Pelodiscus sinensis: one gene and its partner. The protein of the gene in region 1 purifies or fractionates together with the protein of each later gene. This does not show direct contact. Links are inferred from orthologs where the notes say so. Each region holds a gene or a part of one and is shown in the gene's direction. Other genes may lie near its edges.

Region 1 (7,637 bases):
GTAATAAAGTGATAGGGAATAGCCAGCATGGGTTTGTGAAGAACAAGTCATGCCAAACTAATCTGATAGCTTTCTTTGATAGGATAACGAGCCTTGTGGATAAGGGAGAAGCGGTGGATGTCATATACCTAGACTTTAGTAAGGCATTTGATACGGTCTCGCATGATATTCTTATTGATAAACTAGGCAAATATAACTTAGATAGGGCCACGATAAGGTGGGTGCATGATTGGCTGGATAACCATAGTCAGAGAGTTGTTGTTAACGGTGCTAAATCCTGCTGGAAAGGGATAACAAGTGGAGTTCCACAAGGGTCTGTTTTGGGACCCGTACTGTTCAATATCTTCATCAATGATGTAGATATTGGGATAGAGTGTACGCTTATTAAGTTTGCAGATGACACCAAACTGGGTGGGGTTGCAACTTCTTTGGAGGATAGGGACATAATTCAAAATGACCGTAGCAAGTTAGAGAAATGGTCAGAGGTAAACAGGATGAGGTTTAATAAAGAGAAATGCAAAGTGCTCCACTTAGGAAGGAACAATCAGTTCCATACATACAAGATGGGAAGCGACTGTCTAGGAAGGAGCATGGCGGAAAGGGATCTAGGGGTCATAGTGGACCACAAGTTGAATATGAGTCAACAGTGTGATGCTGTTGCAAAAAAAGCAAATATGATTCTAGGTTGTATCAACAGGTGTGTTGTAAGCAAAACTCGTGAAGTCATTCTGCCGCTCTACTCTGCACTAGTTAGGCCTCAGCTGGAGTACTGTGTCCAGTTCTGGGCGCCACATTTCAAGAAAGATGTGGAGAAATTGGAAAGGGTACAGAGAAGAGCGACAAGAATGATTAAAGGCCTAGAGAACATGACCTATGAAGCCAGGTTTCATGAACTGGGCTTGTTTAGTTTGGAAAAAAGAAGATTAAGGGGGGACATGATAGCGGTTTTCAAATATCTAAAAGGGTGTCACAAGGCGGAAGGAGAAAATTTGTTCCTCTTGGTTTCTGAGGACAGGACAAGGAGTAATGGGCTTAAAGTGCAGCAGGGGAGGTTTAGATTGGACATTAGGAAAAAATTCCTAACTGTCAGGGTGGCCAAATATTGGAATAAATTGCCAAGGGAGGTGGTGGAATCTCCCTCTCTGGAGATATTTAAGAACAGGTTAGATAGACATCTGTCAGGGATGGTGTAGACGGAGCTTGGCCCTGCCTTGAGGGCGGGGGGCTGGACTCGATGACCTCTCGAGGTCCCTTCCAGTCCTATTATTCTATGATTCTATGATTTTCAAGCAATTTTATAAAACTTAATATTGTTAGGGAGAGTGGTTGGTTGGTTGGTTTTAGTACTCTTGCTATTCCTTTGATTTATTTCATTGATTTCCCTGAATTAGGAGTCTGTGTGTTATCAGGATCAAGAAACAGTGAGGTTGCATTGCATTACAGTAAAATTCAGGTATAGATGAGTACATAATGTAGAAAACACTTCCACATGCTGGGGTTGAACTGACTTTTTACAGTCAGTAGCTTTGTGACTGTCCACAAAAGTTCAGTCATCAGGACAAATATTTTATACTAGGATACAGTTCTATTCTGCCCCCACTCACCTTTCCAAAGAGAAATTATGGAATCTTAATTATGAATGGAATTTAAGAAGAAAAATCAAGACTATTTTATATGCAAATTAAATGCATGGCTAAATTAGTTTTGTACTGAGTGTACTTAACTCCAGTCAATGTTAAGGGAGATAAATGTATCAAGGAGAAATGAATTGTGAGAGAGAGTAGAGTAAGGAAAGTTTCCATTTGTCATTATTATCAGATTTCATATTTGCACTTTTTGGTAAAGACTTTATGGGACTTAACATTTGAAATTTCCATGCTTGTATCTGATGGTGATACAATGCAATATATGTTTAAAAGTAAGCAAATGCTATTGATAACATTAATTATTGTTGGGTTACTTTTCATATTTTCAATTTTGCAGTGTACTTGGATGCTTTTTTAATTGAAAAATAGAATACCAGCAGATGAGAGAGGGATAAAAATAAAGACCTAAATAATCCAAGACTGTTCAATATAAATATGAATAATCTGTTTTGTGGACAATCCCTCTTGTATGTATCTATAATATAGGCTCTTCACATGGTGCTGCTTGCTTGAACCTCTTCCCAGAGTTTAGTCATTACATTGAGGTTTCAGTGGAGCAGAGGGGTTTGCACTTTCTGTGCTTTGGTCATCCCAGTAAGAAATTGAAATGAAAGGAAATACAGCACAAATGTCATGTTTTCCCTCCATGATTGCTAGAGAGAGACCCATCCAGTTGTGATGTGGCTTTAAGACGAACTGCATGGCTCTGAAGAGAAGGATTATCAGCATGGCTATGAAAGTGCAATATTGGGAAGGTGTTCAGTCTCAAATAAACAGATCACTTTTCCTTTCCTCAAATTATGCACTTAAAACTATTGGATAGTTTTGAACTTAATCTCTCTCTGCCTCAGTTCCCCTCTGTAAAATGAGGATAATACTCATTCATCTCATGTGGATATTATGAAAATAAAAGTTGAATTGCACTGTGATACTACAATGACTGCCATAGAAAAGATCCCGAGGGAGCTAATTCTGTATTCAGAGCAGTGTTTGAATATTATGACGTGAACAAGGCATGGGGACACACATTGAACAATATAGATAACATAAAATATTAGCTGTTCATTAAGTTTCCTGTCCACTGAATTAGGAAGTACTTATGTAGAAAAAATACTATGTGATCATATAATTTGCTGTTCACAATGCCTTTGCAAAAAGTGTCTAAATTAAGGTTGTGCAAACAACCTTAATTTTGGCATTTCATAACTATAGCATGCTTGGCTTTGCAACTAGGGATGTAAGTGAATAGTTGAGTAGTCTAGGCGTATTGGCTAATCTAGTCTAGGGATGTTAAATTTAGTTTAATCAACTAGTCGATGGATTGTCCATCGACTAGTTAAGTGGGGAACAGCAGCAAGGTTAGCTCCTGGCTCGCAAGCTCCGCCTTTTAAATGGATTAAGAGCCTGTTGGCTGATTCCCGCCTCATGCCCAGTCCCTGCTTCCCTCCTGCCCCCAGCGGAGACGGTGCTGAGGAGAACTGGCTTTTAAGCCGGCTCCCCCCAGTACCAGCCCCTCCTCCCCCCTTGCTACCTCTGTTAGAAGTAGCAAGCAGGGGAATGACTAGTCAAGGGGCTAGTCAACTATCTGAGATAAGCAAAAACTTATTAGATAGTTGACTAGTAGCTTACATCCCTAATCTAGCCAACTTCTTGCGTTTCACCCCCCCCTCCCCTTGCCTCTGTGTCTGCATCCAAGTGTTGTCCGGCTCCTCTCCCCCAATGGAGCAGTGGCACAGCCAGGGTGGGACAGACCCAGCTGTTGCCAGGGGAGGCACAAAGGGACCACAGGGAGCTTTGGCTGCTGACAGAGATCGTCTGTGGATTTGTGAGATCTTCCCACCTGTCCCATGTGTGTCCTCTGGTCCTGGAGGAGGGTGGGAGCATCCTGGCTTATCATAATGCAGCTGCTCCTGCCTTCCCCAAGCGGTGCCAGGTAGGCTGGAGCCTCTGTGCCTGGTTCATGCGTAGGCTGTGCAGGCTGGTGGGCATAGATCTCTCCAGGGTGGGGACTAGTGAAGTGAGGTGGGGACAGAGGAGAGTTTTAGGTGTCTTAACTTACTTCCTTCTGGGCTGCAGGCAGAACAAAAGGCCTAACTCATGACATTTGCATGATTACGTTTCAAACCAAGTTTACATAGGTGTTAATGGCTCAAGATAAGAAAGGAAAGGATTCTTTTAACAGAATTTTTTTTTTAGTGTTGTAGGTATCTGCAAACTCTGATCTGTTACAATGACGTGTGTACAGATGCAGTGTAAAATAATACATGGCCTCTTAAAATTAATTACCACAATGAATATTCAAATAAAATGTTACTGGTCTGCCAAAAGTTTATGAATGGGTTTGCCAGTCTCTGGTATAAAAAAGGTTGGGAACCACTGTTCTATGGTATTTACAACCACTTTCAGTTGCGGTTAATAGAGATTGAAATCTCTGTGGAAGAAAAATAACATTTTATATGGATGGTTCATATTTTTTATAATGTTGTCAAGGTCATCAAGTCTTAAAGGAGAAAATTGCTTTATTTAAATACTGATTTTTTTTTCCCTTAAAACTTAAATCTTCAGTTCAACTACTGATTTTATCTGCTGATGGCTTACTAGGGTAGACTGGCTGTTAGTGTATTCTGATAGTACCCACAGCAAGCTGTGGTCTGTACTGAAGCTCATGGCATCATTACAGGTGGTAGTTACAATGGCAAAAAATCTAAATGAATGTAGTGTTGACAAAGCATAAGAATCATTAACTAGATCCCTGTTTCATTACATGGAAGGCTCATCTAATATCATGTGACTTAGGGTAAATGATTTTGTATTACACTATCAGTGCAAACACATGCTTAAGTATAGCCATGTAACTTCTTATCTCTCACGGTGGAAGGGGCTGTGACAGTTCAAGCTAATCTTATTGGTGAAGGAGTTTCTATGTGACTTCTAAAGAAACATTTCCTTTTTTAACCATACCAATACGTGAGAAAGTAGACGCGAACATTGCTGTCTCTCAGGAAGGAAAGACTGCAGAGGAGCAAGTCGTCTTATGACTAAAATACTTGTGGTAAAAGTTTACTTCCATCTTAAAAGTTGACACGGCATAAAGTTATGATTTGTAGCTCGGTATTTACCTGTACTGTAAAAAGTTAGCTTCTCTAGGGAGATGAATTTCTCAGAAAATGATAATATTGAAGATGACCAAAACAAGAATGCAGTCACTGCCCATGAAGGGATCCCTTCTGGTATCTTGGTGAGTTCTGTCCCTTATGTCCTTATTTACTATAAATATAGTGACTGCATTCTGTTGGCATAGTAAAGTAGTTAATAGTTGCAGTAGATCAGTCTGAGAAATACTTAGTTTCAAGCTCTTCTTGAGTTGTAATATTTTAGAAAGCCTTAATTTGAACTTCAGCAGACTTGTTTTGGTTTTACCTTCTCTTGCATAACTACAGGCAGTTCAAGGTGCAACACTAAACTGCAACTTTTAATTTTTTATGCTTACTTAAGAGCAAAATATATATTTGATTTTTGCTTAAGTATATCTTGCCATACTTAGTTCCTCTGTTAGATATTACCTCTGTAGACTTGGTTAACATTCACTATAAAGCATATGAAATGACATAGTTAGAAATGTATTTTTATACACAAACTGAAAATGAAAATAAATTAGAATTTTTATTCAAGTGACATTTGGAAGCTGCCAGTCCCCTGCGTTATTCATTGTCATTAATTAACTAAATACAAGTAAATTAGTATGTTTGAGTTAGAATACTATAGTTGCAATTATAGTTTTGCTGATCTTGTAATTAAATATGTACCAAACTCTAAATTAAAATGACTGAGACACTAATAAAAATTATAAATGAGGAATAAATCTAGTAAAATTTTGAGTAAATGACTGTTTTATCCAGTTAAACATAACTTCTACCTGATTGATAAATATCTATTTTAACCTGGGCAAAATCAGGTAACTTGAAGAAAATCAAGACTACGCTCTTGATTTTTCTTTTGCATTCTTCCCTTTTTGTAGTAGTAATGAAAAGGAGCAATTAGATCAAAAGGCATCTTGTACTAGATACAATGTGAAATCAATAGAAAAATTAATTCTGTTGATTTAAGACCTCTTGACGTTTTTTTCATAATACTAAGTAATGATTCATTCCCTTTGTAGCAGAAACATACTGTCAGTAGCTTTCATGTGTGTAGTGTGAACTGTCCAATCTGCTTGGAAAAAGCTGTACTTTACAACATATTTTAGTGTGTAATATTTTGGATTTCCCAGGCAATACAATATGTTAACCAAAGGCTGGATTAGTAAACCAGATGAAGTACTCTAGGGCTGTGTCTAGACTGCATCCCTTTTTCGTGAAAGGGATGCAAATTAGACATATCGCAATTGCAAATGAAGCAGGGATTTAAATCCCCCCCGCTTCATTAGCATAAAAATTACTGCCGCTTTTTTCCGGCTCGGCGCTTTGCCGGAAAAAAGCGCCAGTCTAGACGCGGATCTTTCGGAAAATAAAGCCTTTTCCGAAAGATCCCTTGTCCCTGAGGCTCTATTTTCTGAAAGATCCACGTCTAGACTGGTGCTTTTTTCCGGCAAAGCTCCGAGCCGGAAAAAAGCGGCAGCCATTTTTATGCTTATGAAGCAGGGGGGATTTAAATCCCCGCTTCATTTGCGGGAATTACGAAAAAGGGATGCAGTCTAGACACAGCATAGGACTGTGAGCTAGGTTTTAAAAATGAAGACTGTTTTTCCATTGTGGTATTGGAAATTCCCAGGAAATTCTTTCTCTTCATATAGGTGCTGTTCTAGCTGTGTCACATGCTTGCATACAGATGTTCTATTAAAAGTTCCTGAACTATGAACAACGCATATTAATGTAAATTGTATTACTTTTGCAGTACTCAAAAATACTAAGGGGCTGTGCCCAGTGTTCCCCCTAAGATGAGCTGCAGCACAGCTTCACAGGTGATTAATCAGTCTTGCCCAGTCATTCAGCTCTGTGCTGGTATCCCTGAGCCTCTGACTGGGTAGGACTGATTAATCACCTGTGAAGCTGTGCTGCCCCAGCAGTTTAGAGGGAACACTGACGGCAGGAAAAATGTATATGGGGGTGGGGGTGAGATGTTATATCAGTGGTCCCCAACCACTAGAGGTTGCCGGGCGCCAGGGGGCGTGGCCGTTTGCCCACCGGGCACCAGAGGACGGGGACACTTGCGCGCCTGGGGGCGAGGGCGGGGCCCCCCCAAGCGGCACGCGCCCAGAGCACAGCCAATCTGCGGCGCTCCCGGAGCCGGCGCTCACCGTGCATGTGCCACGTTCCCGGGGCCAGGCCATCCCCGAGCACTTGGCAGGCGCACACAAATGCCCCCACGGGCGCCATGGCGCCCGCGGGCACTGTGTTGGGGACCACTGTGTTATATGCTTTGTCAGTTTTGAGGCAGGGACCATGTCTGTCTTAGTTTAGAATTTCCTGAATTTCAGAGTTCACTGCTGAAGTGTGTTAAAAATTTAATGTGAACTGTCGGAGCTGAAAATGCCTAAGTTGTATTCTATAAGCCTCTGTTCCTCAAACTGTAAAATCTACTTCATTTAAGGGTGGGGAGAGTTTAATGTAGTCAGTATTGGATTAAGTGTCTTTTATGTTGCATAGCTCATACTTATTTTTAGTTTCATAAACATGTGGCTTCATTTTCAGAGTGAGTACTTTTTCCCCTTGTTCTGAATTTACTGTTAAACTTTATCTTAAAAGATAGAGCAGGCAGTTGCAATTTTTACATTCCCTGTATTGGCTTATTGCAAATGCAGAGTGTTTTCCCTCCTAGTTAGAGGCACAGGATGCTCCACCAATATTTGAATATTTTCAATTATGGGGGCTCTTACAAATGTAAGCTTATAACTTTGATGTTCGAAACACAAGACCTCTGGAGCATTAAAAGTTACAAGAAGTTCCCTTTTGCAGTGGAGCCCTCAGTATCGCTGGGCCTTTAAAATCTGCT
Region 2 (7,952 bases), on another chromosome or scaffold:
CTCCAGACTCATTAACATACTGTTGGCTCCAATAGCCTTTCCTCAGCCACAGGCTGCAGATGCTTGAGCGGAGTCTGTCACTCTGCATCACTGTGAAGGAGCTGGTAGAGCATGATCCTGGCTCTTTGCTAGCAGGCTGGCTGGCTGGCTGGAAATGGGATGCAGACACTAAAACGTCTGGCAAATGTCTAAAGAAGCAGCTCCCTGCTAAGAATGCAGTTTGCAATTATTTTGATGGAGCTGTCTGGGACATCATCCTGTGGTCAAGCAATGTAATAGTTCTTTGTATGTGCCATGGAACTGCCCTGCCTCTGTTTGGAACGGTTTGATCCCTTCTGTCTGCATCTAACCTAGACTGAAAGTTTCTCAGGGCAAAGACCATACATTGCCTTTAGAAGCACACTCTCAGTACTCACACTATTATTACTGGCTAATAAATCTGGGGCCACTTAGATCTTTATAGTTGTCGCTACGCTGCATAGGGCCACTCAGAACCAGAGCAGAATGGGAACAGAATTTAGATATAGCTGCTCCAAAAGACCAGACTACTGTCACTTGAGCTGAAGGAGACTCTTCACTGGATGTTAGCAAAATAAGACACACATTTAAGCATGCCTCATTTCATCCAGCAGAGGGCACTGGCATACACGCAGACAATTCACTCCTGCTACCCTAATCAGACCTTTTGTCTTAAAGAACAGGCCTTTCATAAGTTTCAGAGGGGTAGCTGAGTTAGTCTGTAACTGGGAAAATTTAAAAAGCAGCAAATAGTCTTGCAACTCATGATACCGTCTACAGGTTTTGTTAGTCTTTAAGGTGGTGCAAGACTGTTTGTTGTTTTTTAAGTTTTTCCAGGCATTTCATGGTTCATCTCAATTCTGACAAAAGTGTAATCAATTAATGTATTTAGGACTTTGAAAGCTATGGGGACTGGGAATTTCATGACAAAGGATATAATTCAGAATTTCCTCCTCCAAATGCATAGGTTGCTACAATTTGAAGAAGCAATCTATTAGCTTTCAGCAATCTAAAGTTTGACAGAAGCAAGCATTTCTAACTCCATCCAGGAGAAGGCAGTACTATACATACATACCAGCCTGTATATTACTATAGTAAAACTTGGGCTTTATCACTGTATGTCGTTCAGTTTATGGGGAATCATCTGTCACATGTTGCCACTAGGGTTGTTAAATATTGACTAATTGACTAATCAAATAGTCGATGCATTTTGCATCGACTATTCGATTAGTCGATAGGGCGCCTCCGTCTTTGAAGTATAGCAACAGAAGAGCCTGGGGTCAGCTGGGGACTCCCCCACTGACCCGAAGCTCTGTGCGGCGCTGCTGCTTTGAAACACCATGGGGAGCCCAGCATCAGGCTCCTCGTAGCATTTCAAAGTGGCAGCGCTGCATGGAGCCCGGGATCTCCAGCTGATCCTGGGCTTCACGCAGTGCTGCCTTTTTGAAACACTGCATGCAGACTAATGCTGGGCTCCCCATGGCGTTTCAAAGTGGCAGTACTGTACAGAGCCCGGGGTCAGTGGGAAGTCCCCAGCTGATCCTGGGCTCCATGCTACACTGCTGCTTTGAAATGCCGCATTCAGCCTGGGGACACCCCAGCTGGCCCCAGGCTGCATGTGGCATTTCAAAGCGGCAGCACCGCGTGGAGTCCAGGGTCTGAGCGGCACTGCTGCTTTGAAGTACCCTCTCCCTCCCCCCCTTGCTACCTCTTTCTGATAGAGGCAGCAAGGGGGAAGGAAGCGACTAATCGACTAGTCTTTCACACCCCTACTTGCCACTAGCCAACCAAAAGTAGAATTGTTTTGTTTTTTTAAATGAGAGAGGTTTTAGGAAATTTTTTGTTTTTGTTTCGACTTCTGAATTATGGCATGAACTGAAGGAAAAGCACTATTACTAACGAAGCAATAAAGGTTAAAAAGGTTAAAAGAATGTTGAGAACTTAAATGTGACACACACCCCCATTACATTTTGTAAAAATAATCTTTTATAAAATCTTATGCCAATAGATTTCTAGGGCCAGGTTCGAAACTTAGCATAGAAATGAGAGATCTCATTCATTACCACTACAGCGTTGTGGAGGAAATTCATCCCTAGTCAGAGGCCAGCAATATATCTTAGTCTAAATTAAACCTGATTTTGAGGGCTTAAGTGGTGTTTAGGCGATCCATAGGCCCTGTGCTAGCCCTCTGCACACAGATGAATTTCACTCACTGTTGGTAGGATGCCAGTATTGATAATACTGCAACAGGTATGAAAATGATGATAGGAACAAGTTTGCGCTCCTGGTCTGTGTCTACACTGGCGCGATCTCGCGCAAAAGCGGATGCTCTTGCGCAAAAACTTGCTGCCTGTCTACACTGGCCACATGTTCTTGTGCAAGTAAACTGACGTTCTAATGTGTAAAATCAGGGCTTCTTGCACCAGAACTCTGATGCTCCCGCTCAGGAAGAAGCCCTTTTGCGCAAGAGCTCTTCCAGAAGAGGCCAGTGTAGACAGGCAACATGAATTTCTTGCACAAGAAAGCCCTATGGTTAAAATGGCCATCAGAGCTTTCTTGCGCAAGAGAGCTTCTACACTGGCATGGATGCTCTTGCGCAAAAGCACATCTCTTCCGCAAAAGCGCATGCCAGTGTAGACGCTCTCTTCTGGAAGAATTTTTGCAGAAGAACTCTTCCGCAAAAGAGTTTTTGCGTGAGAACGTGCCAGTGTAGACGTAGCCCTGGTGAAAAAACTTTTCCTTAGTTTGAGAGTGGATTTCTAATGTGAGCACATATGTGACATCTGGAAACCTACTACTTGCAAGAATAACACATTTTATGCAGACTGTCTCCATCCTCAATCACTACTCGCTCTGTAAAACTATGCAATACTTGAATACATACTCAGGGGATGAATATAAAAACAAACAAAATAGGACATGCTTTCCATACCTATAATAGATTTAAAGGACATTTCCCATCACAATGTGGATCTATAAGGTAGACCACATTAACTATTCATAGCTTTTAGACCTTCATTCCTGACTCATAAATATTTCTGTATAGTTTTCATTGATTGTCACTTATAAAGGTTTCAAAGCTTGGCTACTACTAGCAACTATTGTGTAGTAGTATTGTTTCCTTATATATTCTGTCACTGCTTTCTCTCTCACCATAGGCTTTAGTTATTTTCCATGGTAAAAAAACAATTGACTTTAAATAAGCAAATAGTACACTTGAGAAACTGAAAGTGAAACTCACTATAAACAAAAAGTGAAATTGATTTTTAAAGGGATATAAAAGACAAGTAACATCCCTTTACCATATGTACAGATGGAGCTGGCAGAAACCTCAATTTTTTTAATCTCATATCTTAATATTGTCTAGCTGCACTGGAATGTGCTTACGTCTTTAAAGAATCTGGATGTAAAGCTCTGTTGTATTGTTTCAACTGTCATTTTGGATAGAACAGAGAACATTCAGTTGTGCCATTAAGATGAATATTAGTCAAAATCCTTGCCTAAAAGGATTGCAAGGAAGATAGTGCTAGAATCACAAAAAAGCAATGCCAGGAATGTTACAATTAATAAACTCTATGTGGTCAAAAGATACGGAAATGGTAAGTAAATTCAACAATTAGGGATAATGGGTCCAAAGGCTGCTTTTCATCCCTCTGGCAATGCAAAGGGGCTTTAAGTAGGAAGAAATGGCATCTAAAATCACTCCTTTGTTTTAGGGACTTTCCTAGCTGGCCTAAAGCTGCTTTCAGACCACAGTAAACTCTTCATTCTTCATCGCTGCCCCAAATACAAAAACAGGGAAACTGGGATTCAGACAAATATACCACAGTTCTGAATGAAATACTAGAATATTAAACCGTGTGCAATCATAAGGGCCTTATATCTCTGAGAGCGCTGATGATCTTTTCTGTCCTGCGGGTCTCGGTGGGACACGCCGTGGGGCCCGGCGTCCTGCCGGTCTCGGTGGGACACGCCGTGGGGCCCGGCGTCCTGCCGGTCTCGGTGGGACACGCCGTGGGGCCCGGCGTCCTGCCGGTCTCGGTGGGACACGCCGTGGGGCCCGGCGTCCTGCTGGTCTCGGTGGGACACGCCGTGGGGCCCGGCGTCCTGCCGGTCTCGGTGGGACACGCCGTGGGGCCCGGCGTCCTGCCGGTCTCGGTGGGACGCGCCGTGGGGCCCGGTGTCCTGCGGGTCTCGGTGGGACACGCCGTGGGGCTCGGCGTCCTGCGGGTCTCGGTGGGACGTGCCCTGGGGCCCGGTGTCCTGCTGGTCTCGGTGGGACGCGCCGTGGGGCCCGGCGTCCTGCTGGTCTCGGTGGGACACGCCGTGGGGCCCGGTGTCCTGCGGGTCTCGGTGGGACACGCCGTGGGGCTCAGAGTCTGGCCGGTCTCTGTGGGACGCGCCGTGGGGCCCGGCGTCCTGCCGGTCTCTGTGGGACGCGCCGTGGGGCTCAGCGTCCTGCTGGTCTCGGTGGGACGTGCCGTGGGGCTCAGAGTCTGGCCGGTCTCGGTGGGACGCGCCGTGGGGCCCAGCACCCTGCCGGTCTCTCGCCCCAGGCCAGGGCGGGAGGGCGTGTGGGTGCGCCAGGCCTGCCCTGGGCGGGGGGCCTTGCTGGCAGGTGGGATGGGAAGGTGCCATTGGCCTGGGCCTCAGTGGCCCGCCAGCCCCACTCAGCCTGGGGCTCTCCCTTCACAAGACTCCATCTCCCAGCATGCACTCCGAGGGCCGTTCCTGGCGCCTGGCCTGCTGGGCTTTGCAGTCCTCTCCGCGCCGTGCGGCGAAGGCGCCGCGGAGCCTGCCGGGAGTCGTAGGCCCTGCGGAGGCGAGGTGGGAAGCGGGGGGGCGTTGGCGGCGCTTCCTGTTCCGGGCGCGCGGCGGGCACCGCGAGCCTGCGTGCGTCCGGCGGGCGGGGGGCGGGAGCAGCTGGCGGCGGCGGCCCGAGGTCGGAGCCAGGCGGGGTTCGGTTCCGCGCTGCGGCCGGGCGGGAGGCAGGCGCGGGGGGGAGGGGCGCGGAGCCGCCCGCCGCGATGGAGCCCGACTCAGTGATCGAGGACAAGACCATCGAGCTGATGGTGAGTGCCCCCCCCCCCCCGCCGGAACCTCCCCTCCCCCACCCCAGAGTGCCCCCCCCGGCCGGGCAGGAGAGCGGCGGGGCGGGCCTCTGGTCCCACGCTGAGCCAGGAGTAGGCCCCGCCGCGGCCGGGGGAGGGGGAGCGGGCTCGGGCCTTGCGGGGGGGCTCCCCCCGCCCCCCACCCTGAGCGAAGGTGACATTTGAATCCGCCCGGGCTGCGTGGAAGGTGCGAGATCGGGATCATCCCCCCCCCCCCCCCCCCGCCGGCTGCTGGGTGAGCGGGGCTGGGCCCAGGGAGCCCCCCCCCTTTCCTGCCGCGAGACCTTCGGGCCCACGCGCGGGGCTCCCTCCCCCAGTCCAGCTCCTGCCCGCTGGCCCCCAAATCCGCCCCCTCCTCTTCATTGTTCCTCAGAATAACCTCGACCTGTCATTCAACAAACAAGCCACGCCCCTCCCGAAAATATGGACCCCCCCCCATCCAGGATCTCGTTTGGAAAGCCATTGAAAAGGGCCTGAGATTTTTTTTGTGCGGTGGGGAAGATTGGACAAGCAGGTTATTAATTATTTTTACAAATAATCACTGATCAGTGTGGATTATGTGGGCAATTAAACACACACTTTTTTTTTAAACAAGATGACATTCAGCATGTAGTCATTGTCCCCTTTTTGTTCATGGAGCTCTTCCTGAGATGCAGCATCTTGTTTTTTTAACTTTGAGTACAGATGATGATAAACATCCTCTGCAACCCAGTATTTTTGAATCACTTGGTTAAATTGATTACCAAATATGTAAAGGGGTTTGTCTTAGAAGGCAAAGAATTTGTAGCTTAGCATGTAGGTCTATTTTAATCAAATATATTTTGTAATTAATACTGTGTTTTTAAAGTGGCTAGTGTGTGTGTGTGTATATATATATATATATATATATATATATATATATATATAAAATATTTGGGAATTATTTTTACTCCTTATATTTGAGAATGTGTGTTTTATTTCAGTGAGTAAGCATTTACTGAATTGATTTATATCTCTCAGCAGAAGCAATAGGCCTTTTGTGAATTGTTCAGTGCAGTAAATAATTTTGCAAACTCTGTGTAACTTGAAACCTGGGTTCTATAGTTGATTTACTAAATGTTTATTGCACTAAACTTAGGTTGCCGGAAAGTTAGCTGTGGGACAGTGAGAGGGATTCTTTATAGAAATAGTAAGAGCAGTCACAAAATATTAGTAGAATTATGTTAAGATAACTTTAGGGGAAAAATGTTTTTTAAATTAATATCTGGGATAGATTAGAATTGGTGATCAAGTTTAATATTTTGTGTACTACTTTGCCTGCACTAACCATTGTTACCTATTAGATAGAAATGTAATGATGCACAGCTATCCTTGTTTTGTGTTTGTACAGTGCCTAGCACAATGGGATCTTGTCCATGAATGGGACTTCTATGTGCTACTCTCAATAATTATCTTGTTTGCTTCATTCTGTGTGAAGCATCTGGCACTGTCTACTGTTGAAAGACAGGATGCTGGAGTAGATGTACCATTGGCCTGAGGCAGTATGGCTAATTTTCTTTCAGTGATAAAAATAATGTAGATAACAAGATCTCATGCATGCTTTAACTGACCATTGGAAGTGTTCTAGGTGCTGGATAGGCATAAGATGACACAAATTGGCATTTTTAGGTATTTCCACATTCTTTTAGTAATATAGTCTGAGCAAACGACCAGGTTTGATGTTCTGTAAACTTCTTTTATAAAATTTTCATATCATTGGCTGAGCACTGTTAATCTTGTTCTTTTACTAAGCAGAAATTCATGTTATGCTTTCTGCATTTTCTTATCTCGTTGCTGATCACTGAGGTCTGTAGCTGTAGCTATTCTTAAGAGAGTCCTTTCTTGATCCTTATTGATTTAGTAACCCCATATTTTAATGTTGATGACCTCAGAATTGCTTTCATGTTAACAGCTTGTAATGTTGCAAACAATAGCTGGTGAAATCAACCAGTCAGACATCATCAGTTGAAGAAAAAAATTCTAGTTGTCCAGGAATGAGTTCTACAGGAACAAATATAATTGCATATACAATGCACAAGATGAATTTTAGTGGTGGTTTTGTGTCACATAATGAGTAGGTACTCATGGTGGCTGTGTACTAAAATTTAATGGGTGTTTAAGCCAGACAGGTGAAACAATGCTATCTAACTTTCTTGGCAGTCTTTTGACAGACTGACTTCCATTTTAGTATTTTCTGTTTTTTGGCTGTGTTGCTAACTAACAGAAGCAAATAATTGTTTGGAATAATTTAATTGCAACCGTGATCACTTCTGGGAAATGGTAAAAAAGCAACCAAGGGATTTTAATAAAACAACTTTAAAAGATTTTGGATCTCTTTAAAAAAATAAAAATCAAGGCTTCTTTGCATTATGCAATAGGAATCCAATAAAATGTACAGTTACTTTAGCTAATGTATATATGAACTGGCAGTGCTTGTAAAGAGTGAATGTGTGGGGCTGAAAACCAAGGCTGCTGCTTTCTATTAAATTAATACAAATAATAAGATCAAGAAAAAAGTATATTTTACAGATTATTACATAGAAAACAGTAGTTTGTAAATATGTCTACAATTTTACACTTATTTTTAATGCCAGTTAAGGCAGCATTAAAACATACTTTTGACCTGCGCTAAATGTTATACTGAATCTATACAGTCTTCATAAACAAATATTATTTAACAACTTGATCGTGTTTTGCCTCCTTCCTCAAAAGGGATATTTAAGATTCTGTGAAACTGGAAACAAATAAAAAGCAGCCTGTAATAAATAAATAAATAAATAAAAAATAGTGAAGGATATTTGAATA

The links. Proteins that work in one complex are often made in the same cells at the same time.
Region 2: the proteins of LPIN2 (region 1) and FBXW11 purify together in Homo sapiens (affinity purification with mass spectrometry; 4 studies listed by BioGRID and IntAct, with this or other methods). This does not show direct contact. The link is inferred for Pelodiscus sinensis from reciprocal best matches to the Homo sapiens genes LPIN2 and FBXW11.

The regions. Positions count from the first base shown.
Region 1 is NC_134712.1:81,421,486-81,429,122, reverse strand, and holds the start of LPIN2 (phosphatidate phosphatase LPIN2), read left to right. Parts: upstream 1-4,626; 5' UTR 4,627-4,680; coding exon of another isoform or gene 4,681-4,698; 5' UTR 4,699-4,797; coding exon 4,798-4,884; intron 4,885-7,637. UniProt on the Homo sapiens protein: Acts as a magnesium-dependent phosphatidate phosphatase enzyme which catalyzes the conversion of phosphatidic acid to diacylglycerol during triglyceride, phosphatidylcholine and phosphatidylethanolamine biosynthesis in the endoplasmic reticulum membrane.
Region 2 is NC_134727.1:4,104,740-4,112,691, forward strand, and holds the start of FBXW11 (F-box/WD repeat-containing protein 11), read left to right. Parts: upstream 1-4,934; 5' UTR 4,935-5,045; coding exon 5,046-5,090; intron 5,091-7,952.